Linked DNA regions of Astyanax mexicanus. The protein of the gene in region 2 purifies or fractionates together with the protein of the main gene of each other region. This does not show direct contact. Links are inferred from orthologs where the notes say so. Each region holds a gene or a part of one and is shown on either strand. Other genes may lie near its edges.

Region 1 (7,899 bases), on a different chromosome or scaffold from region 2:
ATAAAATAATAATAATAATAATAATAATAATCACACCTAGGCACAACTTTTACCAGTTTCTCAGTTTAGCTCTATGTCCCTTTGTGACAGGGGGAAACATCCATTTTATATTAAGTTACAGTCTTTGTACTGGATGCCAATAACATTTTAAGCAAGTATTTATAATTTTCCATACTCCCCAATAACCTTACACACAGAAAGATTACTTCAACTTTTATTGGAAGTGGAAATCTTAACTAACTAGTTAGTTAAACATTAAAATAACCTATTTTATTAGTCCTGAATGTTTTGTTAAGATTATAGCTAGTTATATTACCTACAGAATACATTAATCTTCATCTTTAACTGTAATATATCTTTTTTGAATAGTATAAAGCATTTTAGCTAACAGTTACAACTGTTTGACAGAAAACACTGTATCTAAGTTACTTATATTAATTTAAATAGTTAGCTTGATAAATTTAGTAAACGTTAACTAGGCTGGCAAAAAGTATATCTATATTATTTAACCTAGCTAACCTAAATATATCATAAGGCTTTTCCATTATAAATGGAAAAAAATTATTAAAATACGAGATTTTAGCTACATGACCTTCTTACCTTTCCGTATTTGCTCAACCTTGAAGTAAAAAATTTAAAATATGTATCCTGCAGGGTAAAAACGGGACATCCAGCGCAGTGGTCCCGCCGTGACCGTTCACCTAATTCACAGAGCCGTGCCGGAGACACGCGCAGCGCAGACAGACCTCATGTTAGCCTGACAGCTAACTCAGCCTGCAGAGTCATGTTCAGAGCGCGTGTGCTACAGTGAGTCCCGCTCGCGCTCAATGTCACACGCACTCCAGCTCCAGCAGACAGCAGCCCTGCTCTACACACTCAGCCCGTCCCAAAGCTCCTCTTATCCGTGGAACTAATCCGACCACACCGCTCGGCTGGGTGAGGGGGGGTGTATTCACCTCCTCGTGTCGTCGCTGAAACACTGATTCCCACATCCACCAGCGGTCACGCTGCTCGCTGTGAGGGTCACGCCTCCTCCACAGAGGTGTAGCTCTAGCCGGTCCTGTCTAACAACACCCAGCACTTATTTATCTGAGTTTTTACACTGGTTCTTCAACCAGTTCCGTTTATAAAAGCCGTGGTGCTGCTCAGTGAACGCCACCAGTTTTAGTAAAACCGTCCAAAAGTTACATCATATTTCATCAACAGAGGGCCCCGCACAGCGGCGGTGCTCCTGTACAAACAGACACGCCCACAGATACCGTGAGGGTTCAAGCTAAAGAACCAAGACTGTGTCCAAAATCTTTTGCTACTTCTCCTCTCCCACCTCGAAATAAGGTGAAGGAGCAGTAATTGGGGAAAAGGGACAGCTGATCCCTTTAATAAGATGTTGACTACTGATAACTGATCCAATCACAACGCTCACTTTCAGCTCTCCCAACACGGCTTAGCCAATCACAACTGCTGCAAACAGTCTGGAAAAATAAGATACCATTTTAAAATGATTAGTTTCTTTGATTTCACCAAATTGAAAGCCTCTGGAATGTAATCAAGAGGAAGATTGATGATCACAAGCCATCAAATCAAGCTGAACCGCTTGAATTTTTGCACCAGGAGTTGCATAAAGTTGTCCAAAATCAGTGTGTAAGAATGGTGGAGAACATGCCAAGATGCAAGAAAACCGTGATAAAAAACAGGGTTATTCCACCAAATATTGATTTCCCGAACTCTTAAATCTTTATGAATATGAACTTGTTTTCTTTGCATTATTTGAGGTCTGAAAGTTCTGCATTTTTTGTTATTTCAGACATTTCTCATTTTTCTGCAAATTAATGCTCTAAATAACAATATTGTTATTTGGAATTTGAGAGAAATGTTGTCCATAGTTTATACAATAAAACAACAATGTTCATTTTACTCAAACAGATACCTAAAAATAGCAAAATCAGAGAAGTGGTCTCTTAATTTGTCCCAGAGCTGTATATGGCCATCCTTTTATTGAAGAGAAAATACTACATTTCTGAAATGATGTGAAATATTTGCCAGTCAACTCCTAAGGTGCTTTGTGGGCGTGGCCACAGTGATGTTACTCCAAAATCTTTAAAACAGTTCCTGTAAAGGATACTGTGGTGGTATTCTGGTAACGTTACCTCTATATCTCGATACAATAAGGTTTATTATTACGATATAATAAAATATCAATACATTGTCCATCTTTAGTCTGTAGCTATTCTGCTGTAGAGTAAATAACCTAGCTAGTTAGCTACCTGAGCCTCATGGGCATGCTGTGCAAATGATGAACCTACTCACTTGTAAGCTACGTTACAGGTAGTTAACTATCGGATTTTTACTCTACCTAAACAGCTAGCTGGGTATCCTAATTAAATAAATGTATTGATAGTAGCAAATTTACCAGGTAGTTAGCTAACCTAGCTAATGTGCCACAATAAGTGCGCGCTTTATAAAGTAGTTATAAAGTAGCATGGAATTACGTTTTTTATAAGTACATTATCTGTTTTACTACCCCTGAATTTAACTAGTTAGCTATACAGTAAAGTGTGTATATGAGCAAGTTAGCTAAGCTAGCTAGCTCATTAGCAACTTACCAAGAAAGGCGTGGTTATAACAAGTCCTCAAGCATGTTGGTTCCACTGTCCTCGAATAAACAGCCAGTTGCTAGTTTTATTTCCAAGATTATCCACGAAACTGTACGTAAGTTTTAAGAAATTTAGCGTAATAAAGATAGTAAACGTTAGGTGGCTAGCTAGGTTAGCTTAGCTTAGCTTGTCCAGTTTGGTCTTTCCGTCAGCGCTCCCAGAAAGAAGGGAAGAGCGGTCAGGACACAGCTAGCTCTGCTAGTTAATTATACCCAGGTAATTTAATACACCTTACTGCCTCTAATGCAGCCAAAATGATTAAAATCGTACTGTTTACTCTATGAATCCAGCTGTAGTTTTATTATGTAACAATGTTAACTGGTCGGTCTCCTTCTACAAGTGCATTAACCTCACATCATCCGAATGCGACACAGCTCTGAGGAGAGGAGGCAGAAAGGCCGCGTCCCAATAACATTGCTTTCTTCCCTTCACTTCTACACTCGATCCCTACTCCCTTGTTACTTTATTTTCTAGATAGGAAGCAGTGCAAGAAACACTGAATACTAGAGCTGAAGCAACAACAGTGATCAGCAGTCACCCCACGTTCACACTTGAATGTAATAAAAAAAAATGGAGGTAATTTTGTGCCAAAAGTTTTACACAAAAAATAAAATCTGCAACAAAAATAATAATCAAATATATATGAAAACCATTTCTATGTGGATTTTGCCATCTTATGCTTTCTTTTTTCTGCTTTTGGAATCTCTTGATTGCTTCTGCTTTTTATTTATTTATTTATTTGCTTTTGTATGTATATAATTTGATATTTTTGTGTAAAACATTTGGTACAAAACTAACTCCATAAATATCTCCTTACCAATTTTGACAGGACAGGGGCTCTTCAGAGGGCCAATCAGATTTCATCTGAACCTCCCCTAGAACCTCTAGTGTTGCTCATATATCTCATATATAGATTTTTTTGGTATAAAATTATTACTATGCAATAATTTTCAAGTAAAAAAAAAAAAAAGCTTATACTGGAGAAAGTAGCCAACTAGTTTTACATAGTCCTTAGGAAAATATATATAATGCAGCTCACTGCTAGATATTAGCGTTTAGCTGTGTTGTCATTAGCCATTAGGATTTTAGCCAAATAAAACAGAAGGCTTGATTATTAGACCTCGGTTCAGACATGACTGGGTGTCTTTCTGCCTCAGAATCCTGCCTGATTAATCAGAAATCTTTTTTACTTCAGTCCACCCTAGGACCTGTCCAACCTTGACTGCAGGCTGTTTAGAATGCAGCTACAAGCTAGAATTACAGTGGTGTGAAAAAGTGTTTGCCCCTTCCTGATTTCCTGATTTTTTGCATGTTTGTCACACTTAAATGTTTCAGAACATCAAACCAATTTAAATATTAGTCAAAGACAACACAGGTAAACACAAAATGCTATTTTTAAATGAAGGTGTTATTATTAAGGGAGAAAAAAATCTAAACTTACATGGCCCTGTGTGAGTCTTTTACAGCGTTGTGGAGGAATTTTGCCTCCACTCATGTTTGCAGAATTGTTTTAATTCAGACACATTGGAGGGTTTTTGAGCATGAACTGCCTTTTTAAGTTCAGAGGTGGACTTGCTGGTGTGTTTTGGATCATTGTCCTGCTGCAGAAAATTTTGATCAGTTATGTAAAATATGGTTCTAAAGCAGTGATCTGACATTTAGTTTACAGTCTCTTTCCAGATGGGAGGGATGAATTGCATGACTGTAATTAACCTCTTGGCCATATTGAAAAAAAGCCAGCCAATTGAACAGTATTGCCAATAAGAACTTTGATATACTGTAAGATATTTGACATAATCTGACAAAATTTACAAAAAGAAAGACAACATAGCAGTCCAGCTTAGTGAAAAAGTAACATTTATTGACAAGAAAAAATAAGAAAACAAACCTTTAAAATAAAAACAACGGACATATAAAATTATGACTTAAGAGAGCACTGAAGAAAAAACCTACATCAGCCCATCTCTAAACAGTAGCACCTTTTTCTAGGAAACATTATCAAGTAGAAAGCCTGATGTATGATTCTGTTATCCAAGAAAAAAAAATAGTTGAGCAAATAATTTCTATCACTTAAACCTTTGGTGTAAATGCTTTGGAAATGGATCAATAAATAAAAGCATTTTTTTCATAGAGGTACACACTGCATCTCCATCTACTGCATTTAAAGTAAACCTGAGTTCACTTGGCCTTCTAAATACAGTTCTGTTAGTACAACATTACAGATTTATATGGCATGTAAGGCACAGTCTCTATCAAATCGTTTAATGATTCTCAATTTAAAGTCAAAATGATTGCGTCTCTGGTCCTGCTAAAACTCCCATATTACAATATAACCATCCTGTTTGGTTTTGTTTTTCTAAACAATTGGCTTCCTTATGAGATCAACTCAAGGATCCACAAATGAAACAGCGATGTATCTGGTGCCTGATGTGGTAGGAAGGCCTTCATGGTAGTGTGTTAAGCGGCCCGGGTGCATGAGGGCCCAACCTTTCCTGGGGGCCCGTATGGAGCAGTTGTATCTAATGAATCGACAGCCTCCGCCCTGGACAAGAGAACGGATGGATAAGACGACATGAGTTAGGTTTTAACATGGTGCTGTCACTGACCACTGTTATTGAATACTTTTTAAATGTCTGCATAATAACCAGCATTTACATACATCTCCTGTTGACTTTTAAAAAATCTGAGATATAATTTATAGTCTTTCATCAAAAAAGAAAAAACACAATTTCTATGCACAGAACAAAAAAGTGCTGATTAGAAGAAACCAGTTAACATATAAACTATTATAACAAAACTTATACTACCTAAATTATTACAATGGTTTATTATAAACAATATGTCAATGTACAGTTGGCCACCAATCATATCAGTCAATGATGCAATCTTTGGCTAAACTATTGGAATTTCTGACCATGCTGAGTTATTTGTGGTATTATTGTCATATTGCTTGGGCTCCAATATATATTTAGACTCTTCAACATTAAAATATCAATCTCCACATTCAGAATAAAATATCCTATTCTTACACATCACCTCTTCAGTCTAAACAATGTTGCAAGTTATGAATGTGGGCTAAATATGGGCTGTACACAATCTTTTCTACACATATACTTCAATTAATGCACTTGTAGCTTTTAAATGATAAACCATATGTCTTAAAGCTCAACAGGTAACAGGTATGTTTCCCTAAAGCAGAATATTAAGGGAACAGACATAAATGTACTCAAGGCAGTACAAAGTTACCCACATGTTAAGAACATTTTAATTTTGTAAGAAAGAACTGTAAAGCATTAAAATGTCTACATGCAAGGAAATATGTGTAAAGCTCTGGAGGAAGAAGCAGAGAATAATATGAGATTTCACCAACATGGAGAGAAGTATTACAAAGTATGAAGATAAAGCAATGCCAGACATGAAGGTAAACATACAACATTGCTTATAGGTGAATTTTCTTGACAATAAAATTAGTTTTTATTATTTTCAGACACACAGTGTGACTAATGCACAGCGCCAAAGTTTATTTTAGTATTCAATAGAAGTCCTTTGAGTGGGGGGTGTGGAAAATATTTAGATCTAAGTACTAAGTAGTTTCCTTAAAAGTACTACTAAGATAGTAGTTCAACTGTAAATTGTAAAGTATTATTACCCATTTGTAACTCACTAATACTTCATATATTGAAGTTCACATGCAGTTTTATGCCAAAATCAATACAGGCCGCTAATGTTTCCTTTAAATTTACTGATATGCTGGTTCTATGCATGGTAACCGAACCTGTAGGTTAAACACTACAAATATTATTTACATTTGTCAATGTAAAGAAAGGGGGAAATGTTATTATTTTAAATGTAGTTGTTTTTAGTACCTGTTTTTTAGTTCATCAATATGTTCATTTATAAAACCAAGTTTTGCACCTCCATCATTTTAATAAGATACTTAATTAAAAAAAATCTATTTGGTAAGCAAACAAAAAAAGCCCATGTCAAACACAAATCAAACCATTGTGCAATTTAAACACAGAGGCTCTAACTCACCTGATAATCTATTCCCACTTGATTGAGAGCAATATTTATAGTAAAAGTGGACGCATCGTGATGTGGCCTTAAAGAGGGCTGTTCATCGGGTCTATATCTAACAACAAACGCCAAATCAAACAGAGCCTGTGAAGAGAGAACAGACAAAGAGAGGCAAAAAGCGTCATGCAACATTCTCACACAAAACACAAGAGAGCAGACCACCCTTCAGGCATTCCAGAAGAATGAAGCTGAGGGGAGAAAAGAGGGGAAATAAGCTAGCCACTCCCCCTGCATCGCTACAACTGCCACAGCATCTTTAGTCTCAGCTCGAAGCGCCACCGTTGAGCCAAGGACTCATTTACCTGATAGTCAATGTCTTTGCTGTTGAGAGCTATGTTAATAGTAAAAGTGGACGCATCGTGGTGTGGGGTGAGTAAGGGCTGCTCGTCAGGTTTGTACCTCACAACAAAGTTGAGGTAGGAGATACACTGATGGGAAAAGACAGTCAGGTAAATTAAATAATGACTGGGTTATTTGTTAACTACAGTGACACCAATTTAGGTTGCTTAACAGACTTTAACAGGCTTTTCCTTCTCCGTATAATATTGTGATTTAATTGTCAGTATGGGTGTCACAACACACAAATGACAAAATACATTGTGTATTAAATATTTTGTAGCATAAAACATATTGTTTTTTTGCACACATTGACCTGAAAAGCACAAAGTAAAATAGGGTATTATTTGCACCACAATGACCATGCTTTATAGTAATACTGTAAGTGCAACAATACAGCTCTGAAAAAAAAAAAATCAGTTTCTCAGATTTTGCGTAAGTGTTTGAGTAAAATGAACATTGTTGCTTTATTCTATAAACTACGGACAACATTTCTCCCAAATTCCAAAATAAAAATATTGTCATTTAAAACATTTATTTGCAGAAAATGAAAAATGGCTGAAATAACAAAAAAGATGCAGAGCTTTTAGACCTCAAATAATGCAAAAAAAATAAGTTCATATTCATAAAGTTTTAAGAGTTCAGAAATCAATATTTGGTGGAATAACCCTGTTTTTTTTTTATCACAGTTTTCATCTCATGCATCTTGGCATGTTCTCCTCCACCAGTCTTACACACTGCTTTTGAATAACTTTATGCCACTTCTGGTGCAAAAATTCAAGCAGTTCAGTTTGGTTTGATGGATTGTGATCACCCATCTTCCTTTTGATTA
Region 2 (7,164 bases):
ACTTATTTTTCAGGGGAACAACAAACATGTCGGCTTGTGCATGCTGACCAGACCTCAATCCAGTTATCTGGTTTGTTTTACAGCACAGGGACATGAGCACAGAGCTTCTGGCAAACACGACTCTCAGTGGAAAAAACATGGACAAGGTCAGGACACAGAGAGCTGCCCTGCACCACGACAGGGCAAAAAAGAACCACAGCAAATCAATAGCTCTGTTGCTGCGTTTTGCCTAAATTTAGACGAACCAATATTAAATAAATTGGAATGGAAAAGAGGCTTTTGCAGCTTCAAGGTTACTGAAGGGTAGAATTCAAGCTTACAGCTAGGGTTGGAGGACATGATTAAAAACCATATATCTCAATATGCTTAAGAGAAATGGCAATCTAAAATACAACATGATGCAAACTATACTCTCTGTGGTATTTCTCTCTGTAGACTTTGCTAACTGTACTGAATTATGCTGCTTGAGATTAAATATATTAAACCTTTAAATTAAACAACAATATGCAAGAATCAATATACTTAAAGTAAAAGAAACAATGAACTAAAAGTGAAAGAAACATATAGACTAATGTGGTAGAGCAATAAAACCAGATTACACAAATATGCCTTGGGTCACGTAGCATTACACAGTTCTTACAAGCGGTATCCTGTCTGCTTCAGAGTTACATAGCTCAGTTAGCAATGTGCTAACTGACCAGAGCAGCAATGAAGACAATATTCTCTTTATTACAGTCAGTCGAACATAAATATTTAAATCTCCAAGTAAAATATGAAATATAATGTTAGATAGACAGACAAAGTTTGTGTCCTGCTCCAAACTCTCCAAACTTCATAAGAGCAGCTACATATATGACATGGCAAACCTGGTCAGGCTTCATTTCAAGGTCATAATGAAACTTTGTTGCTAGGTGTAACCTGTAATCCTTTTCAAGCACAGATCAATGGCACATTTATCTTGTTCAAAATATTAAAGGGGCAATAGCCAGTCTTTCATAAGTTATAGCAGGTGCCCGAAAAATCACTTGATAAAAAAGTCCTTTGAAAATATTGGATGGTAGGTTTGATCTTTGTTTAAATATATGATGGCGCTGATGCTCTCAAAGTGAAAAAAGCTACTTTATCTTTAAATAAGCAGCATTATTATAAATTTGTAAGACATTTCCATGCTTTACGATATCAACAATGAGTCTTGGTACCAGACTGTGGTCCAAACTAGCTCTAATATGAATTACGTGGTCAACAGGTAAATTAAAAATTATTGAACAGAAACATGTATCCATGTCAAATCTTACAGCAACAGTGATAACCCTAAAACAATTATCAAGCAATATCCTCCAGTGAGGTTTGAAGAAAGCAAAATTAATAAAACAGCCCAATTTAAAAGACATGAAGAAGATTTGATCTTTCTATGGAACACACTGAACCTAGATCTGTCCTTAGGTGTGTCACACTACCCAAGTTTACTGTTAAGCTTCTTAATGAAGATCTATTTTAAACACTTGTTTTCCTGACTGTAGGTTAGCTGCTTCACTTCTCCTGCAAAATTTCAGTTTTTATGTGGGAAGCCAAAGGTTTTGGCCTGGTATACCTGGTATACAATGATGAGATAAGTAAGTATGCCAGCAACAATAGGACAACAGACAGACAGCTACAGCTGGTGTGGGTGTGTCTGCACGTGGACTGACAGGAAAGATCATGCCTAAAAAATTGTCCAAGTTAGTTTAAGTAAGAATCATATTATGAACATTTTTTTAGTGTGGGTCTACAGAAAATAAATTTGGCCACTTTTACTAAAATAATGATACCTTTGCTTTCTGACTTTCTAGGCAGTTAACCTACCACTAGTTAACTAGGTCAGCTACCTTTTTTTATTATACAAAATCGGACATCCAAGATAATTAAAACATACAACCAAAAAGGTTTTACAAGCTAAACAAAACAGTTATACTGACAACACATCTCATATGCTAAATAAACAAATTAAATTTAACAATAAATATTTTACCTTTACCCAATTTTAATTTGGGCAGACAGCCCAATTTTAATTACACGGTAGATATTACGTAGGATTTAAGTGTAACTTACTTCTCTGATTTATAATTAGAAATACAAAACTTAAGGGAGTGATCAGGCTTTCTTCCAAGAAATCTGTGTAAAACGAGAATTCCAATATGAGATCCCTCGTAGCATTATTTTTATTTTGTTAAAGAATATTGCCCTAAAATGTTCATTACAACAGTATTCACCATTAAACCTAGGTCACCTAGGTTAGCTAAACTACATGGCTTGATTAGCGTTACATCATTTAGCGAGCTAAGAACACGCCTCTCCATGTTTCTCTGTCACTGCTGGCAAGCAGCTAGCTAGCAAGCTAACCTAGCTTAGCTAGCTTACTTAATTTAACCTTAGCTAGCTAAACAATACAGCTATTTTTACAACAGTCCAACAGCACAGAACACGATACATAGTTAACTACATGCGTACAAGCTATGTAGGTTAACTAATTAGCTTAGCAAGCTAGATAGCTAGCATAGCCAATGTGTCAGCCAGCCAGCTAACGCTAGCTAGCTAGATAGCTGTCTCTCCTGCAGGTCAGTCACCCTCACCAACGCGTTCATTCACATACCTGTCCAACATCTGCTGAACAATAACGGCACTCTCGTCCGCCATGTCTTCTTAAGTGTTCAAAAGTTTCCAAGCGTAGAAACGAGCTGTCGGTTATTTAAATAAACAGTCTGAACCATCTGAAGAGCGGTTAGCTGAGGTTAGAAAGGCCTGAACGAGGACGAGCCGAGCCGATACCGAAACAACCCCAGCTAGTTAGCTAAAGCTAGCTAACCCAGCTCCCTACATACAGCTAAACCCCCTACTACACTATAAACACGCCTCACCGACTAAAACTCCACATCACTATTAACCTAGCTAGCTAGTACTTTCCCCGTTATTAATAGTTTCGTGCCGTGTCCGTTTGACTCCATTTACTGCTCTTTGACTGCGAGGTGTCTGTCTCGGGGACGCGCACTGCGTCACCAATAACAATAAAAACCGACGCGCGCGGCGCTGAGCATTCTGGGTCATGTAGTCTCAGTCCTCACTCCTCTCCTTCATATCAGCAAGGATAGCCAAAACAATATCAAATTTATATTCCAGCTAACCCCGGCAGCCTGGCGCTCCCAGACTCAGAGGCACTGAGCCTCATTAGGAAACAGAAGGAAGACACAGCTATGAAGATACACATATGGCTGCAAAACACCTCGTACTGCGGTAAGTTAACGTTAGCTAACCAAGACACGTTTAACACGTTTCACTAAAGCTTCTGTAAAGAGAAAGAAGGACTGAAGAAGTAGGGAGGCTAACTACTATGTTTAAAGGTGGCAAGTGAGTGATTAAGCTATTTCTAAAGAGAGGGTGTCTGTTGTGTTAGCTAGTAAGCATATGAAATAGCAAGGACATTATATTTGAAATAAAAAAAGGGATAAGGATGAGTCACTCTTCATTTTAATCTGAATTAAGTTAGATAATTTCAGTACCAGATTGGTTTTAACACAATGAGGATTTATTTTTCACTCTGTGAAAGATTATTACAATTAAAAAATACATACAGAAAAAGCCTATTATGTTTAATTCTGCTTTTGCATTTTGCAAATAGGCAGGTTAATAATGTTTACTTTCAATTTCACCAGTGAGGACCTTTTTAAAACTCTGTGAAAGATTATTAAAAATTAAACCCATAATTGCTTGATGTTTATATCATATAAACAGGCAGTAATGTTTACTTTTAGTTTCAGATTGATTTCACCCCAATGGGAACTCACTTTGTGTGAGATTAGGAAAAAATGATAAATGCAGCCTATGATTGGTTTATTGGCCCTCTGACTTTATTTTAATTCAATTTGTACATAATTTAGTTGGCAGAACTGTTTTTAATTTGTTAAACATCTCAGTGGGAGATTATTAAAATTGTGCAATCAACCCCATGCTTGGTTGGTGATTGGCCTACTCATTTCAATAATGCAGCTTTTGCATTGTGTAAATAGGCATAAGTGTTTACTTTTAAGAAATTTCAGATTAATTTCACCAGTGACAACTTTTTTTTTACTCTGTGGGGTTAAAAAACAATAAAATAATAGCCTATAGATTGGATGTGCATTGGCCCACTGTTTCTCTTCTTAATTTAGCTTTTGCATCATGTAGCTAAATAGGCAGTATTGTTTACTTTCAATTCCAGATTGCTTTAACCAGTGAGTACATTTCACTTTGTGGGAAGTTTTTAGTTAAATATATTTATAGCATTGTTTTACTTTTTTTATTTAGTTTTTAAATTAACATAGTTAGCGAAATAGGCAACAGAGTTGGCACACTACAATGTGGTGGCTATATTTAAATGGTTATAACATAGATAGCATATGGATGAATGTTCCTATACAAATTGTCATATTTCTTGATAAAATACGTTTATGTTTACAATAGTTGTATATTGATTGTATTCCCTTTTTTTACACATTAAACATTAAGCTGTGATCAAAATATCTAAACAACTAAAAACTACTCACGCTGGAAGTTAAAACAGGGAAAAAAACTACATTTCCCAGAAGCCTCTTCTGCATCATCCATGCGCCGCAGTCAATCAGCTGTTGAGGCAACTGCTGACTCTTACCTCGGTTATAGCAGGGGAGCTCATTTGTCATATCAATACCGAGACGAACCAAACTGAAAAATAATAGCTTTTATTCACAGAATCCCCCAAAGGTGAAACGATAAGGTAATGTCTGTTTGATGTACGCAGTCTACGCTGGCAGAAACGTGCATGTTGTGGCATATGGGTTGTGCTTTCGCTATGCTATCGGTGCAGTGGAGGATTAGTGTGTGTGTGTGTGTATGGGGAGGGTGAGGGGGTGCATGGTTTCACCCCTTCCCATAGCCATAGCCCCCACATATGTGTATGTGTTTAGCTGGGTTACTTATCCTGCTGTATGAGCTTTGACGCATAGGCCGGTGTAGCTAAGCTTCTTTCCCGGGACAGGGAGTGTGTGGGTTGCTCTGACAGCTTGTCCCACTGTATTGATCACTTAGTTGACCTTGAATAGGCAGTTCTTATGCAGCAACATAGAAAAAAAGCGAGGATTAACTGCGACAGCGACTCTACAGGAATGTTTGTTTGTTAACTATGACAGGGATCGTTTGCTGTGCCGTTTCTGTGTGCCAGGCTATATTAAGCACGATGAGCTTGCAGGGAGTGTTCACTCAGCTGCAGCCTGCATCTCTCGGGCTGTTTAAGCTAAAACTGTCGCATAGCGCACTTGGCCTGCTATTTTCTACTGGAAGAAGACTTTTGATTTGATTTTATTATTGTTTTGTGTATTTTGGTGATTAGCACAGCCTAATCTACATGCTTTTTAAAATATTTCCCATGCTTGTTTTTTGTTAACCTTTTGCTGCAGTGTCTAATTTGAGTTAATTTAAGTGTCTTTGTCCCCTTCATCTGGTCAGGGCTTCGAATACTTTAAAGATGAAACCATTATGCAGGGAATGGTGAGAATGATCACTGTAAACTAATTCTAGGTCAGAACTGATATGCTTTATGAATGCAGCCTCAGGCTTAAAAATATACTGTAACGTTACATACATAAACACTTTTGACTTTGATTCAAAAGCAGTTCTTAACAGGTAAACAGGTAAAGTCTTAATAATTAAAGGTGAATTGCTCTTTAAAAAGGAGCAATTGCTTATGCTATCATACACTCATATCAGTCTCATGAAATGGTTGAAATAGTTGTATATTGCAGTTATTTTGGGATTAATATAAACATCCAGACAAATTAATTATTATGACAGGCCTAATTTGGAGCATTTCTGTGGGACCATTTATAATTCATTGGCGCAGTCATTGACAGCACTAAATTTAATTTAAATTATGGGGTAAAAAAGAAAAACAGTGAAACATGCAAATACAAATTAACTTTGATATTATTGTGCGTGTTAACTATTTTCATAATTAGTGGGCATGAGGTATATTACATGATTATATAGTTGTAAGATTTAAAACTTATTAATGTATTAACGCGATTTCTCTGACTAGCCAGAAATCTTTTTGAAGAGTCTGTCCAATGGTACAATGTCTAAGGGACATTACTCTTGAATAATCCTCTTCTGTTTGGTTTATGGTAACTGATAAACTGGGAAATCCTTTTTGTATGTTAAATATCCTTAGAATTTCTCAGTTTTAGCCAGATAACTTGAGCCCAAAGGTAAGGACTGTCCAATAGGGCAGTAAGAATGTCCTTCAGCCCTTGGACAGGCCAGGACAGGCTAGGTAAACTCTTGGCAAAATTTTGTGAAACATATGAGACAGAAAGGGAAAGTGTGTGATAATGCTGGGTAGAAATTAGTTAGTTCTAAAATGTATAGGAATGTGGCCGTTTGCAGTAATATCGCCAAACACTTTGACACGATAAAAAAAAACTCATTGACAAACTTTTATAGTTTTTTGTTTGTTTCTACTGAATGTATGAAACTACTATATATACTACTATATACTGTTGCAGTAGTATATGAATAAAAAATGTTGTTTTGTTATGTCGCTAAGAGTATCATTATCACAAAAATACCCTGAAAAGAGAAAGTATCAAGATATTATTTTAAGGTCATATTGCCCACATCTACTTAGGAACTTACTTTTTTTTCTTTATTTTTTTCCAGATTAGTTTTGTGTGTGTGTGTTTTAGACATATAGACTGGTTTTAACCTTGTGGAAGGACGCAGCTGTATTTATTGACGTATGCAAATGAGTGTAGGGGTGGTCTTTATATATAGGGAGGAGAAAGAAAAAAAACAGGAACAAGAATCAGTTTCACATTGCAGATCTGGAGTTCCGGTGGAGGGGGAAAAGAGACGTGGCGTAGGAATAGGTGAATATCGCTACTTGTATAAAGCTGTTTTCCTGTTTTGTTGACGTTTTGGAGATTAATCTGTTCTGAAGGAAAGGGGGACCGGCCGGGAGGAACCGGGCTGCGGTTTGTGTAATACCGGCTCTGCTAAATGGGCGATCCCGGCTCGGCTCTGCTCCGCAGCGATAACAGCAGCAGCAGCAGCAGCAGCTTTATTAACAATAATTTCTCCTTCTGCTCGTCCTGTCCTTCACTCAAACGCGCTCACAGCCCG
Region 3 (7,506 bases), on a different chromosome or scaffold from region 2:
TGTCTTCATCAGTGCCTTCAACACTCAGGAAGCAGTTTGTAGTGTGTCCGATGCCACTGGGAAGCACCCGGTCCCGCAGCATGGCATTGATAACAGTGCTTTTTCCATTGCTCGTTCTGTGAGGAAATTCAGACAAGCATAAACACTCAGATACAGCTCTACATTATCCACAACCACACAGAAATAAAAGATAAGAGCCTGCATTTAAAAAAATGTTCAGGGTCCATAAACAATAGAAGATATAATAAATCAAAAAACACCTACTACTTATCTTAAAACAATTTAAATGTGCTATAAAAGGTTCTTTGGATGAGCCAAATTTATAATAGAGATGCATTTGTAAAGAATCTTTACAATGAATTAAGTTTCTTGTCTTTTTGCATGGACAAGTCTAGCCAGACACTCCCAGCCACATTAATTACACTCACTGCCCTGTCCACTGTCCACCTCTTTTATTTAAATGATTTTTTGTAGAACAACAAATGGTTTATTTAAAGGACAACCTTTATTTTTAAGTACACCACAATCAATAACAGTTGGATTTAAAAACTCAAAAATTCTTCCATTAAATCACCTGCCAAAGAAGGCCACCTTCATATGCCTGCGAGCGAGCACCTCTTTGATGACCGCCAGTTTCTCAGTATACGATTCAATCTCCTGCAGCTGAGTGCTGTCTGCAATATGCTCCAGCGACGTATTCTGACATGTTTCTAATGTACAAAAACAAACGAATTAGAACAAATTAAAACAAGACAGGTAAAACTATAATAAACTATAGTTTAAAATCACTTTAAATCACCTTTTACAAACTCTGAGCCCTCTTGGACATAGCCCAGCAGCTGCTCAAAGACATCATTTATCTTCTTTTTGGCTACTACAAAGTGCTTTAGTGGAGAGCGGTCCTCTTGGTCCATTTCTGAATTAGCTAAAAAACAAAAAAACAAAAAAAAAACATTACATTACTCATAGCAGTCTAGCTTTTTTTTTTTTTTTTTTAAGTATTTTTTGTTTTTAATTTTTAACTGCTTACCTTAAGGGTCCCCAAATAGTTACGATGTGCCAAACCTTTAAAAGCAAGCACACCACAGCCTTATTAATATTTAACATTTATACACAGTTTACATATTTATACATATTAACTACTAAATAGTACCAAAATACTCTTTTATAATATTTAAGTAATACCAAGGCAATTAGTTACCAATTATTTAATCAGAATCTGCATGAATTTTAGCCGAGTCAAAAGGGTTGTGCACTGTTCCACTGAGCAGGGATGCTTGCACAAGCATGATCTTGATGAAAAATCTTACTCCCAACATTTTCCATCTCCAGTTCTCTACATAAAGACAAGCCAGGTGAGTTTTGAAAACAGTTGCTTTGGGCTAAGGAAGTATTTAAAAGTGTTTAAAAGAACCAACAATTGGTGGAACTATCTTATACAACAGGATTATAATCTGAAGCACACCTCAAAACAACCCAAGAACACAGTAACAGAAAAAATGTTTTTTTTTTTTTTTTTTTTTTTTTTTTTTACATTGTAGCTTTATATTACAGACATAAATGCAATTAAGGGACACATATGGAAGTACATATAAAACCAAACAATCCCCTGATCTAAACCTGATGGACTGAAATGGTGAATGAAACAGAAACTGTTGTTCAGCACCTCCAGGAACTTTTTCAAGACACTGAGAAAACTATTCCAGGTAACCCTCCTTCATGAAGACACCAAGAGTGTTAAAATACCAAGAGTGTGCAGATCTGTCCTCAAAGATAAATGTGCTTCTTAAAAGAATCTTAAGTATAAAACATATTCTGGTTTGTGTAACCCTTTTTGTGTACAGAATAATTCAGCATGTGCTCCTGTATAGCTTTAATATCTTTAGTCTTAAATGTACACTGTACAAAATCGTAAAATTAAATAAAACACATTGAAAGAGAAGAGTGACACTGTATCGCAGAAATAAAGGCCTTCTACTAAGAAGAATATGCAAAGACCTTCAACAACAAGAACTTTTCAAGTATTTCTAAACGGGGGATTGTTTATTAAAGCATATTAAGAGCCTTGAAAAATAAAAATGAATTAATACAAAAACTTGGGCTACATATTTAAAGCAGTGGCTAACTATTTTAACTGCTTATCTGTTTACCTAACATTCACATAGCTAGTTACAACTGCAGCAAGCTGTGAGGTATATCATATGACAAACATCAGAAACAGCCAAAAGGATCAGCTGTCAGTATATTTAAAATCAAGTACAAACCAGTATTAATGCATTCAATCGTAACTAATGAGCATTTTTTCCCTAGCAAAAAATATCTTATAGCTTAAATAAATAAGTTACACAGTACTAAGCCCTTAAAAGTTGAGAGGCAAACACCAATAATACACAAACCAGGTAAGATAAGGTACCCTTAACTTACGTGCAAACAAAACCTCAACAAAATGCAAAACAGAGCAGAAACAGGATTTCCACCGCCCACTGTGATTTGTGTAGTTGAGTTTTTAATCGCTCTGAGCTCCATTCAAACAGTCTGAAGATGGCTAATCTAATGGTTAGCATCTAATCAAATATTTATTGAGCTAGAGTTAGTTAGCTAACAAGCTAGCTACTGTAACCTAGCTAAACTCCTATAAGAATAATCACTCCTCTAATTATTATTAATGTTATTAATCAGCCAACAATCATCAATAAGACCGATAATACCCACTTCACCCGGCTATACAAAAGCATAGAGTGTCGGAGCCTCACAGCCAGGACGGGGTTATTTAGCGCTGCGGCTTTATTTCAGTTCATAACCAACGAAAACAGCGAAAACACAGCTTGCTAAACCTAATTACACTATATCGACACGCGCATATTATCATATATATGATAATAAAACCCATAAATAAACGCCTTACCGATTTACAGACTGATTATATCCTCTCGTGTCATGCTAGCTGGATAAAACACACACACGAAATATTTGACCCTTCAGCGCAAAAGCGTGGAGATCCAGCACAGCAGCTGCTTCAAAATAAAAGTCCCAGAGCTCTGGTAACAGTTTGACCTGATCTGATAACAATCAGACTAATGTAATAAATCAGACTCTACTGACTGAAAGGACTGAAAAAAACCCCATTGAATTAACGTTATTTTTTGTTTAATTACATATTTTAATGTTTATGACTATAGAACATAGAAAAATGATCGTTGATTCAACATACCCTGCTTTACTTGTATATTATACTTTACTGTATATTATATGATTGCAAAGATAATGGTCTAATGTTTTTATTAAAACAGAAAACCAGTGGTGTTAACCATATTGCAATTAATTTTATATGCATTCCCAGAGTATTTGTTTTATTGCAATTAATCAGACACTACTGACTAAAGGGATAATAGGACAGCTACCCTGACAGCAAAAAAAAAACGTTGAATTAATGTTATTATTATTTTTTTTGGTTGAATGTAATCTTTTGATGTTGAAGATTATAAAAATGAAATATATATATATATATTTTTTTTTATTTTATTGTATTTATTTTAATGTATTTGTTGAATTACATCTTACATATTGGTGACTTACGTAGGTACCTGGGTACATTTTCTAATTGCAAAAAAATAATGATGTAATAATTTTAGTTAAAACAGAAAAGCTTTGGCGTTAAGTAACTTCATATGCATTCCTAGATATCAAAACATACGTCTCTAATGTACTGAAACAACGCCCAACGTTCATTTAATAAATACATTTATAAAAAATACATTTTTGTTTCAAATTAAAGGAAAAAGGTGAAAAAAGCACAATAATTGCTGCTTAGGAAAAATGCAATGCCCTGTGGGGGGAGGGGGGGGGTTGTTATAGATGGTTTATATGAATATTTTGCCTAAAATATGAGAGTGCAAAGGGTTGTTGTATTGCTGCAGGGTTTTGATAACGTGTTGGTGCTCTCTGCTGGTCGCACTGAAGAACATGTAGGGAGTAACGATAGGGTGTAGGGAATAGGGTGCCGTCTTTTCAGTTGTACATGACTATATTAGTAGTGGAGATAGGGATCAGTATATAACATTTATAATAGGGAGTGGAAAACTTGGACTAGGCTACAAGCCATTGTAAGTCACACAGTACATGTTAAAAATGTCCTTAAAAATCCTTAAAAATCTCCACTCTAAATGTTGTGTTTTCTAAGTCTAGGCTTAATCTCTATTTGGGGAAATTGGGCAAACACAATACCTTATTATAAAATACCGTTTTCAGACTTTGTACATTTCAATTTACGGAATTTGGCTGATAGTCTTATCCAGAACGACTTACAAGGTTGTTTCTATTACAGAGGTGTGCCAATGTAGTGTTAGGTGTCTTGCCCATGGTGTATAACAGTATAGTCACCCTAACCTCCCACATGATGTGGAGGCTCTCAAGCAGGTGGAGGTGTTATCCACTGCGCCGCACCAACCATCAAATAAAAGGACATAAAATAAATTGGGTTTTTGACTCGAATAAAGAAAAAATAATAAAAGAAATTAATAATGGTACTAGGGTTTTATATAATGGTTTAACAGTTAAAGAATCAGATAAAAAAGGAACTATAAAATATTAAACCTATATGTCCTATACAAAATTGTGCACAATTAGAAACATTGGATGCATTATTTGTTTGAATGTTATAGATTAAAGGAAGTATGGGATAAATTAAATCAAATTAGTGATAAAATAACAATAATCTATTATCTAATCTAAAAGTAATAAAATATGGATTTTTGAAGAAAGCCTTACAGAATATTAAAGGGAAATTATTTGGTTGATCATTTGCATGGTTTAATGTAAACTATGGAAAACAAGATGTAAGTTTGCCATAGAACATCTAAATATTACAAGTGGAAGTGTTTTTAATCAGACATGGTTGAACTTACAGACTGTGACTAGTTAGTTATCAGCAAAAAGGAGACAAATGGACATTTTAAAATGTTGATATTGTTTGTAGGTAATAATACTGTAAAGTTTATAATGTGTATATTATGTTTTTGGATATTGTGTTCAAAATGTATGTTTGAAATACATTTCTTCTTGAAAAAAAGAATTAATAAAGTATAAATAAACTATGGTACTATGGTTTCAAATGACAATTGAAAATATATGTAATTAAATATTATCTGAAAAAATGAGAGACATAACATGGCTAACTGCAAATGAAAGACTCCTTGTAATAAATCTTATAAAATGGAACTATAAAATAATTAGCCCTATATGTCCTATACCAAATCAATTAGAAACCTAAAGGCAATAAAATATGGACTTTTTAAAGAAAGCCTCACTGAATCTCAAAGGTAAAGTTTTTAATGTGTGTATTATGTTTTGGATATTGCGTTTGAGATGTATGTTTCATGTAAATTTCTTATTGGAAAGAAAATCAATTCAATAAAGTATAAATAAACCTAAGAGGTAGTGGAGTAGTACGTAGTAAGACGTAGAGAGTAGGGAATAGGGTGCGAGCACTTGCGAATAGCACGCACCCGCCGTTCCCTTCTCGCTCACTCCGGACATCGTCACCCTGTCAGCAGATAGGAAATGGCGAGGCGAAGCGGCCTCACCGACGCTGCGAGTGTAAGAGCGAGAGCCCCGGTTGTTTAACTCGGTTGACCGCCCGGACGTTTTCATGGTGGACTAAGGCCGAGCTTGTTCGAGCCCATGGAGCCCCATGAGGAGAAGCCCATCATCTACACGATGGAGAACAAACCCATAGTGACGTGTGAGTGCGCGGCTATAGGTTGTTGTTAGCAGTTGGAGCTAAGCTAAGCTAAAGCTAGTGGCTGCAGCCGCCGCCGCCGCCGCTGCTGCTGCTGCAGAGTCTGTCTGCCACCTCAGAGAAACCCTCACACATACAGATATATACGTGTATACATATGTACAAACTGTGACTAGTGTTTTATTGTACTGTAGAACAATCAAACACACCTACAGGCAGCCCCCTAAACACGTAGCCAACCAGCAAGCTAAATTAGGTGCTAGTTAACCTCCCTGCAAACTAGCTAGTTAGCTATTAGCATTAAGTGCCTTTAAACCGCCGGGCTGTTAATCTAGCGTTAGCGTTACTGAAGCTGCTGAGCTGGAATAACAGCCCTGGCCTGCTGCTCTGAATCTGAATGAATATGAAAATATCTAAAGATAAAGACTATATGTTAGTTTATACATCACAATTTTAATACAGGGCGAGAATACACTAATACATAATTCACATAACTGCACTCCTAACTCGCCTGCTTCGTGTTGGCATTTTCCATTCCACCTTAAATAGTGCAGTAGCTAGCCACATTCTGCTGCACTATTTAAGGTGGAAATTAATTTCTTAGCTACATTTTCTACATCAGCTTAGCAGGTTAAATAACAGTACAGCAGGTGTGGATAGCTACCTGGTGATTCTATGTGTAAAAGACTGGCTATATAACCTATAAGCTGTGAATTCAGCGTGCTGTCTTGTTTACTGAAGGAGGTGTGTGTTTGCCTTCGTGCTGCTTGGGGTGTGTAGCTATGTTTTCCACGGATGAGAGAAAAGGGAAATGCGTTCTTTCGCTTCCACTTCTCTGTAGTAAAGGCATGTTCAGCACTTAGTTCTGTGTTACAGTAAGCTGGTATGCTCTGGATATACTCCCTCATTACTGTCGTTTTCTGTCTTTTGCAGTGATCTTTTTTTTAATTTAGTCTAAGCATGTGTATATGCACCTGCCCATTGGTTGCTGTCATAGGAGAGCTGTCTGTGGACAACAATTTACATTCTTTTCCAAAAGAAAGAAATGCATGCCGAAGAATGTAGTTTGGTTTGTTTGATTGGAAACCGTCCACACCAAAACGCACCCTGTGGGCACGTGTTAAAGGGTCTTCTTTTGTTATGTGTGCTCACTCAGTTTTTTTTACATTATTTTAAAGCATATAGTTTAAAAGTGAACATGTTAAAACGTGATACATTTGAGTGTGTTTTCTTGATGGCAAACCATATAAACCAAAACATAATAAGGACAAGTGGGCAGGAGCTGAAGGGTCTTCAGATTGGCCTCTGTTGTGTTTTAAGAAGTTGTGTTTTTGAGGTCCTTTTGTTTTTGTATTTAGAAAGCCAGACTGATGCCAGTCAATCGTTATTTAATTTTAGGTTTGGCACTATTTCTAATGTTTTCTGTGCCAAAGTTGTAGCTGTTTGTTAGTTAACTTAAATTACTTTCATAAATATTTTTATTGGCTTTCTTTTTTAAGTGAAACAGTATGCTTGTGTTGTGCTGTGCTTTCTTACTGCCATAGTGTCTTTTTTTGTTTTTAAATAGTTAGATCAAAATGTGAACAACCCATAGTGGTTCAGTGTTAAACACACTGCCATAGTGATTTGGCCCTTGAGCCAAGGCCCTTAACCCTCACTGTTCCACAGGTGCTGCAGCAATATCACTGTGATTGGATGCTGTTCTCTCATATTGCTTTTGCGTCTTCAGTTTTATTTAAAGCAGTAAACACACATGACTGTCAAAGTGG
Region 4 (7,241 bases), on a different chromosome or scaffold from region 2:
GGTAGATAACTGATTATCATTACTGCACCCCTGTAACAGATCAAGAGAGAAAATGCTCCTTTCCCTCCGAGCTTCTTGTCTTATTGCGCATAAAAACGTGAGCACGAATTACAGAAATCGTTCACTCGAATTACAGAAATCGTGCGCACGAATTACAGAAATCGTGAGCACGAATTAAAGAAATCGTGAGCACGAATTGCAAATCGTTCACTCGAATTAAAGAAAACGTGAGCACGAACTGCTACATCGTTCACTCGATTTTATTATTTTTTTATCCACGGCCCCTCCCAGGCTCCGTAGATAAAGGAGAGGAATGTTTCAGAAACTGTTCTAATGCTGTGTGGGCAGCTTAAAAAAAACAGCAGAGTGAAAGCACGGCATTCCTTTTGTTGTGACAGGTTGCTGCTCACAAGTCCTGGCCTAACCCCTACTGCTCTAACCTGAGACAGACAATGGGAGGGTGACGCATTCGGCTCATTCAGAAGCACACGACACACCCACACGCGTGAATAACAGACGAGAGATCAGGGAGACTGCAGGGAGAGAGTACCGTTCTCATCACTCGTCTTTCTGCGGTCCTCTGGGTCTACGTGCACCAGCTGCAGGATGAGCGGTCTGCGGGTGACGATGCCTGTCCCACGGGGCAGGAGGTCCCGGCCCACCAGACTCTCCAAAACAGAGCTTTTCCCACTGCTCTGTAAACGAGAAGATCACAGTCACATAAAAAACACTCTGACCAATGCTGACAACACACAACAATAACACACAAATGAGGTACAAACCACCTTTATTCTAACAATGGGAAGTAAAAATTGTGTAATAAAGTGGGTAAGCTGTCCAAATGTTATTCTGTTTGCGGGTGATTAGCATAAACTCTTGCTAATTTGTTTGCAATCTCTTGCAGTAATTATATATACTCTACATACATTTTCGCACCTCACACATTTTTGTTTTAAGCTAAAGCCCATTTTTGGGTGTTTAAATAAAGTAATACATTGGCTTTAATCATGATATTTTATAGCAGTTTATTATTTTGGGGGTAATTTGACAACAAAACATCTACTTTTTTTTGTTTATTTTACATTTGGTTTAAACTTGATTCTTTTCACAGCCACTCAGATTCTTATGTACACATGCTACCTGTTATGTAACTCCACACCCTTAAATGGTGCCAATGAAACCAGATGATCAATGTTTTTTTCACTTCAATTGTCCCATATTTGCTGGATGTATGAAAACATTCTCTATTTTACTAAAAGAATACACATAACCTTGTATTTTAGTAACATGCTAAATTAGATATGCAACAATATGGAAACTAATATGTGCATGTACATATTTGGTCATTCAAAGCTAATACAAACACTAAAACACAGAAATCAGTACTGAAACAGGACCAGGATGAGCAGTAGAAAGAATCATTCATGCTATTCTGGAGTTTAAAAATCACAAAATTAAATATCAGTGGAATCTAAACATGTCAAAAAAATGTCCAAATGCCAATTTATTGCCTTTGTAGAGCATCATAAAAAAGCCCATTTTTATGTGTGTAGTTCTCAAGGTCTGAGGCCTCAGACTTTTTTTACCTTTGTATTTTATTGTTCTCAGCAGCTTACGCTTCACATGCGCTCATATTTCACAACAGAAAAAACACAAAATGCAATTTTACTGGCAGAAATCCAGCTATTAAGCAGCCCAGACAGCTTACTAACACTTCACTGTTCTTGTGGAGCAGCGGCTCCGGTGTTTGGGTTCCTAGTTAGACAGACATATCCTCTTAACTGAGGAGCGAAAGTCCAGTTAGCCAAAATAAGACATGCCTTTAAACCCATTACGATAATAGACTGAAGAAGAGGATAAACTTTCACTTCTCCTTCAGGTAGAAGCTTTGGATGAATATGGCTTTCTGACACCATTATAAAAGGATTGTACACTTGAGACTTTAAATTGTTGTACAGTAAAACGAAAGTAAAGTGAAGAAATATGATATATGAAGTATATAATTGCTCTAAAGCACAGAAGATAGACTTTAAATTATGTCTGTTCTATCACCTATTTAAGAAATGTGGACCTTTGACTTGTGTTGGGAATGTATAAGGTAGCAACATTACTGCAGTGAGTACAGAAAAAAAATCTTTATCTTTAGAAATAATTTATTGACAACGTAATGTACGCATATATGTATGGTTAGGTAAATTAAATCATCTTGTTATAGGAAAGCTGTAAACATTAGCAGCCTTTTTGTAAAGAATATACTGAATAGTGTAACTTACATCTATTGTAGTTATGTTATCTCTATGTTTACTATTTTAATATTTCCCTCTTTCATATTCTTTCTCCAGGCTACATTTATTTTGGATATCATATAAATAACTAAACAGTAAAAGTACTGGTGTATCTACTGCCAGTGTGCAAGAATTAAAACGAATTTTAAAAAAGAACCAATCTACTCAGAAAGACAAATAAGTTAGCTGACTAAAGTTAAGACAGTCATATTGACAGCCAACACAAGTCTTCCTAGGTTAACTGTTAGCTAGGCTAGGATGTAGGCAAGCTAGCTAACGTCAGCTTGCCGCATTATGTGTAGTAAACAGAAAGGGCTCTTTGTGTATACAAGCTTAGCACTTAAACATTCACACTGCATAGTTAATTATATTATGTAAACTAACCAGCTAACAGAATAACTGGGGGAGTATTTAAATCACCGCAGTGTTCACTGCTGTTAGCCTGCTGCGGCTAACTCCAGTAAAATCCTATCAATGGCTAGTTAGCGTAACTTACCTGCGTTCCCACCACTGCGATCTGCGGCAGCTGGATAATATCCGCGCCCACTGTGTTAAACACGTCCTGCAGCTTGTTAATAACAGGAATAAGAGCCTCCATGGTTCAGGCGACCGCTGCCTGTCTAAATGAATGGAGTCGCTACTGTAGAACGGCTAAAAACAGCACAAAGTCATCCAATGTCCCTCACGGTGCCACCATTTAACAGCCCGGCCCGGGAACCAACTGCGCACAAATTCTGCCGCGCGGCTTCATGGGATTTGTAGTTCGCAGACACAGATCCATGGCCTAACTCCTAGGGAATCCTCTGACAAAAGGAACTACATTTCCGAGTTTCACTCTCACCCAAGAAACCGGAGTGAAACCGAAATATTTTGGGGCATGTTGTGGGATTTTAGACGAAGGCAGACGCAGACAGAAGTGATAATAAACGAATACAAATTGGTTTAGCACTACGTTATTATAACTGCTTTGTTACACTCTGCTTGTGATAAATTAAGTTGACTTTGTCTTGAAACTTTTTTATCATAGTAAGTCTTTTTCTATGTGGTCATTTATATTCACAATACAGACATCAGACTTGGGAAGTCTGAGAATACTGACACACTTAATATTGACACACAAGTGTACGTATTTAGGCTAGCCATTCTTTTGTTGGCCTGATGTTTTGGTTTTTGTTACAGTTACTTCGTTTTTATGTTCACTTGCTGCCTACTATTTTTAGGTGCCCTGGAACCAGATAGTGTTTTTGTTTCAACAATCCCTCATTTGCTAAATCTATGGCAATATACCATTTTATTAAGATAATACACATAATACTGTTTTGTGATAGCATCCTAAATTAGGTACTCACTGGTATGGGAGCTGTGGGCTCATGACATTCAAGCTTAGGCATTTTATTTTAGATCACATAACTCTCAGGCACATGTTTGAACAGTTCAATGTCTATAGATGCTGAATGTGCTCATTTTTCTTGGCAATGAGTATAACACAGGTATTGAAAGGGAGGAAAAACAGTCACCACAACTACTGCATTTCTTACCATTTATTTCACCCAAGTTCTATACATTATACATCTGGGTTTGAACATACTTATTTACATTTCATCCATAGGATTAAGTAATAAAAGTGCTTGATGTGTCAGCTGATACTCCAACTGAACAAGACCAGCTAGCAACAGTGGTATTAACAAGAGAGCTAGCTTATAATATTGCACAAAAACAAAGTTATCCCAAATGAAAAATGAGGTAACAGGTAAGAACAGAGCTGGACCCGACACATTTATATCAGTAATTGGTACTGAAGTGATCCATGCATATAAGGTGGTTTGGAGACTAATCTACAAGTGAAAGACAGTCTCAGGCAAATGCATAAAGCGACACAACAGATTTGCTTTGTTTTAGAAGTGTTTCTCACAGACTGAATTCAAGTGCAGCCAAAGCTTCGGAAGAACTACGGTAAGCTTTTTATAGAACCTTGTTGTAAAAGATGAGCATTTTAAGCATATGCCTTCACATTTTCCTTTTCCTATATTGCTTTTAACAAGCAAAAACTACACAGCGAAACCCCCTAAACTTTAGTTCAAAATGATTCTGACAGAAACTCGAAGCAGTAGCTCCTGTAACAGGTAATAGATCACCTGCTTATTATGAGAAGACCATCCCCCCTAATGAGGCAACCAAAGACGTGAACTTCAATCCTAAACTTATTATTCTTCTCAAACCTTGAACATCTGTTTACAATTAATCTGAATTCCCTTCAGAACTTTGAAAAAGGCACTGCTAAAATCCATGAAACAGTAAGTACTAAAACTCTAAAGTAACTGCCAATCATAATTTATTTTGTGTTTTTAAGCATTTATCAGTATGTATTTTTATGGGGGCTTTATATGTTCTGTCTCGAACACATCCATCTTGAAGCTAATATTCTATAAATTATACATTACTCTTTTTGGATCTATTTGGGTTCTCTGAGCCTGTCAGGCTCACTTAAGACATTTTTGGTGTAGACATGAGCTATTTAGAGTGACAGGTCAAGTTGTGACTTCACCGTCTTGCGACATTCTGAGTAAGGACCAAAGAGTTTAACTGTGACTTTGAGTGAGCTATTTCTTTAAAACCAAACCTAGAAAAAAAACCTAAGTCAAAAAGTGGACGAACTATGATGAAATTGTCTTTTAAGAACTTTGGATCCAAATAGGTTTTCTCTACTTGCATTGGGAAACACAAACAATATATTTTAAAATCACTGCTGCCATGCCTTGTGATAAACAATGCTACAAATTGTATCCATACTTTTTCTCAGAATGTTTCTTGATTCCCCTGAATTTTGTGATGTTAGTGTTAAAACATCAAAATTGCTTTAAGTAAGATAACACTACTGCACAACAAACATAGTAAAACTGACCAACTATGAGTGACTGGTGTTATTATACAATAGTGTTAAGTTAATTTGCAGACTTTCACACATAGCTTCAATGTGCAGGAGTGTTAGTATACTCATGTAGCCAGTGTGTAGATTTCTATATATTTTAACCTTGTAAACCATAACATTCAGAGAACAAAAATGTTCATAGGACAACTTGTAAACACCAATAAATTTAGCAGTACCTAATATTAGCTAATATTAGGTAAGCAGATATAAATATTAGCATAATGGCGGCTATAGAGTGATGTACAGATTTAGAGGTATACAGGGGAAATGATGGAATGCAAACAACTCCTAACTCTGTTCCTAACAGTGGCATATTCTTTTTAAAGTAATGTCAGTTGCGACCAAATAAAACGTAAAACCTAGTTATTCTTAAACAAAATCAAACCTCGCCCAACACAGCAACGGGTTAATAAATTAATGAAATAAACAACCAAAAATATATAGCTTAATAGTAGCTGAACAGAGCCCAGCTACACAATGGTTGCTGGTAGCTATGGTCCACTTAGTAGCTCAGGAGGAGGTACAGTCTGTGTAGGTGGTCACCATATTCCCCCTTCTCTGAGTCACAGTCCTGCAGTGCTGTTTCGCCGTGCCGTGAAACCTGCTGTCAGTCCGCTTGCTGTGTCTATCAAATGTAAACATTCTCTCAATGTCATCAGACAGGTCCTCAAAGACACCTGCACCAAAACCCCCCTGGAAGTGCTTCTTGTGGCGGCTGTGAGCCTGCTGGTGGGCCCTGAAATGGTCCTCAAAGTGACGCTTTGGTCGGGCGTGCCTGTTCTGGCTGTAGATGTCAAAGTCTCTGAACATCTCGTCAAAGTTAAAATCGAAGGTCTGATGGAAGTACTGGCCTCCCCCTCTCATTCCTTCACTGGAGAAAGCACCGTGTCCTAACTTGTCGTAATCCTGCCTCCTTTTTTCATCCGAGAGTGTTTCATAAGCTGAAAAAGGCAAAAGGAGCAATGCATTAGTTTTTTAGAGTTTTAACAGACATGTAAAAATGGGCTGTAATGCACTAATGTAACTGTTGATATAAAGGCAATACAGAGTCAGTTGCGCTCAATTAAATAAAAATATTTTAGTAAAAAAAAGGGGGGATAAGAGCACTTCCCACAGAGCAATAAAAAGCCACTAAACTCTTTCATATATAGTCTTGACATGCATTACACATTTTTCTAAAGGAGCTCTCAGTAACTTTACCTCATTCCTTTAGGGATGTCCTGATTAAGCTTCATTTTTTTTTACCATATTAAATAACATAACCCAATCTGACTGGCCAAACTGACCAATCACCTCCCAGTTCCTTTAAAAATTGCAGTCAAAACACTCAGTGTGTGTGTGTGTGTGTGTGTGTGTGGATAGTGGTACACTGATAGCTATAAAGATGTGCTGGGAGTCTATCTCCCCTTATGGATATAATGAAATAATATTTTTCCTGTTGCACAAGTACAACTGAACTGGTGAGTACATAAATACACAAACAACATTTTATTTTCTAAAAGATCAACTAGCAAATATTTTAACTGGTTTTCTGTGGGCTGTTTTTTTTTGCTGCATAATGTCTGCATAATAACTATCTATTCCACTTTCAGTGATTTAGCAGTTATGTTGTGATGTTGAAATGAACACAATATAACTGCTGCACTGCAAGGTATAATGGAGAATTAATATTAGAAGCAGCAGTTTAGAAGTTCATGTATGTTAATGGCACCAAGCATCAGACTTAGATCAGGTTTAAAAAGCAGGAACCTGATTAGATCGGAAGATCCCTACCCTCCATCACTGCACACAATATGTGTTTTATATACTATACTATAACATGCTTAGATGTGTGATGGTCTTTTACCTTCTGCTGCCTCCCGGAACTTCGCCTCGGCGTCGGGACTCTTGTTCTTGTCAGGATGATATTTCATGGCCAGCTTGTGAAAAGCCTTCTTAATCTGACGCTCACTGGCATCTTTTGGAACCCCCAGAATATCATAATAGTCCTTTCTGGCCAGTATCAGTTCTGTTATCATCAGGATGCA

The links.
Region 1: the proteins of marchf5 (region 2) and mfn2 purify together in Homo sapiens (affinity purification with mass spectrometry; 5 studies listed by BioGRID and IntAct, counting the BioPlex papers as one, with this or other methods). This does not show direct contact. The link is inferred for Astyanax mexicanus from reciprocal best matches to the Homo sapiens genes MARCHF5 and MFN2.
Region 3: the proteins of marchf5 (region 2) and mfn1b purify together in Homo sapiens (affinity purification with western blotting; 4 studies listed by BioGRID, with this or other methods). This does not show direct contact. The link is inferred for Astyanax mexicanus from reciprocal best matches to the Homo sapiens genes MARCHF5 and MFN1.
Region 4: the proteins of marchf5 (region 2) and dnm1l purify together in Homo sapiens (affinity purification with western blotting, with the first as the bait; 3 studies listed by BioGRID). This does not show direct contact. The link is inferred for Astyanax mexicanus from reciprocal best matches to the Homo sapiens genes MARCHF5 and DNM1L.

The regions. Positions count from the first base shown.
Region 1 is NC_064419.1:19,263,744-19,271,642, reverse strand, and holds the start of mfn2 (mitofusin-2), read right to left. Parts: upstream 3,020-7,899; 5' UTR 2,604-3,019; intron 1,165-2,603; exon of another isoform or gene 601-1,164; intron 1-600. Other genes in the region: plod1a (procollagen-lysine,2-oxoglutarate 5-dioxygenase 1), read right to left, coding at 5,041-5,196, 6,690-6,815, 7,034-7,159. UniProt on the Homo sapiens protein: Mitochondrial outer membrane GTPase that mediates mitochondrial clustering and fusion. Mitochondria are highly dynamic organelles, and their morphology is determined by the equilibrium between mitochondrial fusion and fission events.
Region 2 is NC_064414.1:41,275,243-41,282,406, reverse strand, and holds the start of marchf5 (E3 ubiquitin-protein ligase MARCH5), read right to left. Parts: upstream 3,015-7,164; 5' UTR 2,674-3,014; coding exon 2,630-2,673; intron 1-2,629. Other genes in the region: cpeb3 (cytoplasmic polyadenylation element-binding protein 3), read left to right, coding at 7,042-7,164. UniProt on the Homo sapiens protein: Mitochondrial E3 ubiquitin-protein ligase that plays a crucial role in the control of mitochondrial morphology by acting as a positive regulator of mitochondrial fission and as an important regulator of immune response.
Region 3 is NC_064423.1:30,687,649-30,695,154, reverse strand, and holds the start of mfn1b (mitofusin-1b), read right to left. Parts: upstream 3,016-7,506; 5' UTR 2,906-3,015; intron 1,337-2,905; exon of another isoform or gene 1,202-1,336; intron 1,066-1,201; 5' UTR 1,031-1,065; intron 926-1,030; 5' UTR 915-925; coding exon 800-914; intron 711-799; coding exon 575-710; intron 117-574; coding exon 1-116. Other genes in the region: trappc10 (trafficking protein particle complex subunit 10), read left to right, coding at 5,680-5,740. UniProt on the Homo sapiens protein: Mitochondrial outer membrane GTPase that mediates mitochondrial clustering and fusion. Membrane clustering requires GTPase activity. It may involve a major rearrangement of the coiled coil domains.
Region 4 is NC_064417.1:36,154,263-36,161,503, reverse strand, and holds the start of dnm1l (dynamin-1-like protein), read right to left. Parts: upstream 3,023-7,241; 5' UTR 2,884-3,022; coding exon 2,782-2,883; intron 696-2,781; coding exon 551-695; intron 1-550. Other genes in the region: dnajb9a (dnaJ homolog subfamily B member 9a), read right to left, coding at 5,725-6,155, 7,061-7,241. UniProt on the Homo sapiens protein: Functions in mitochondrial and peroxisomal division.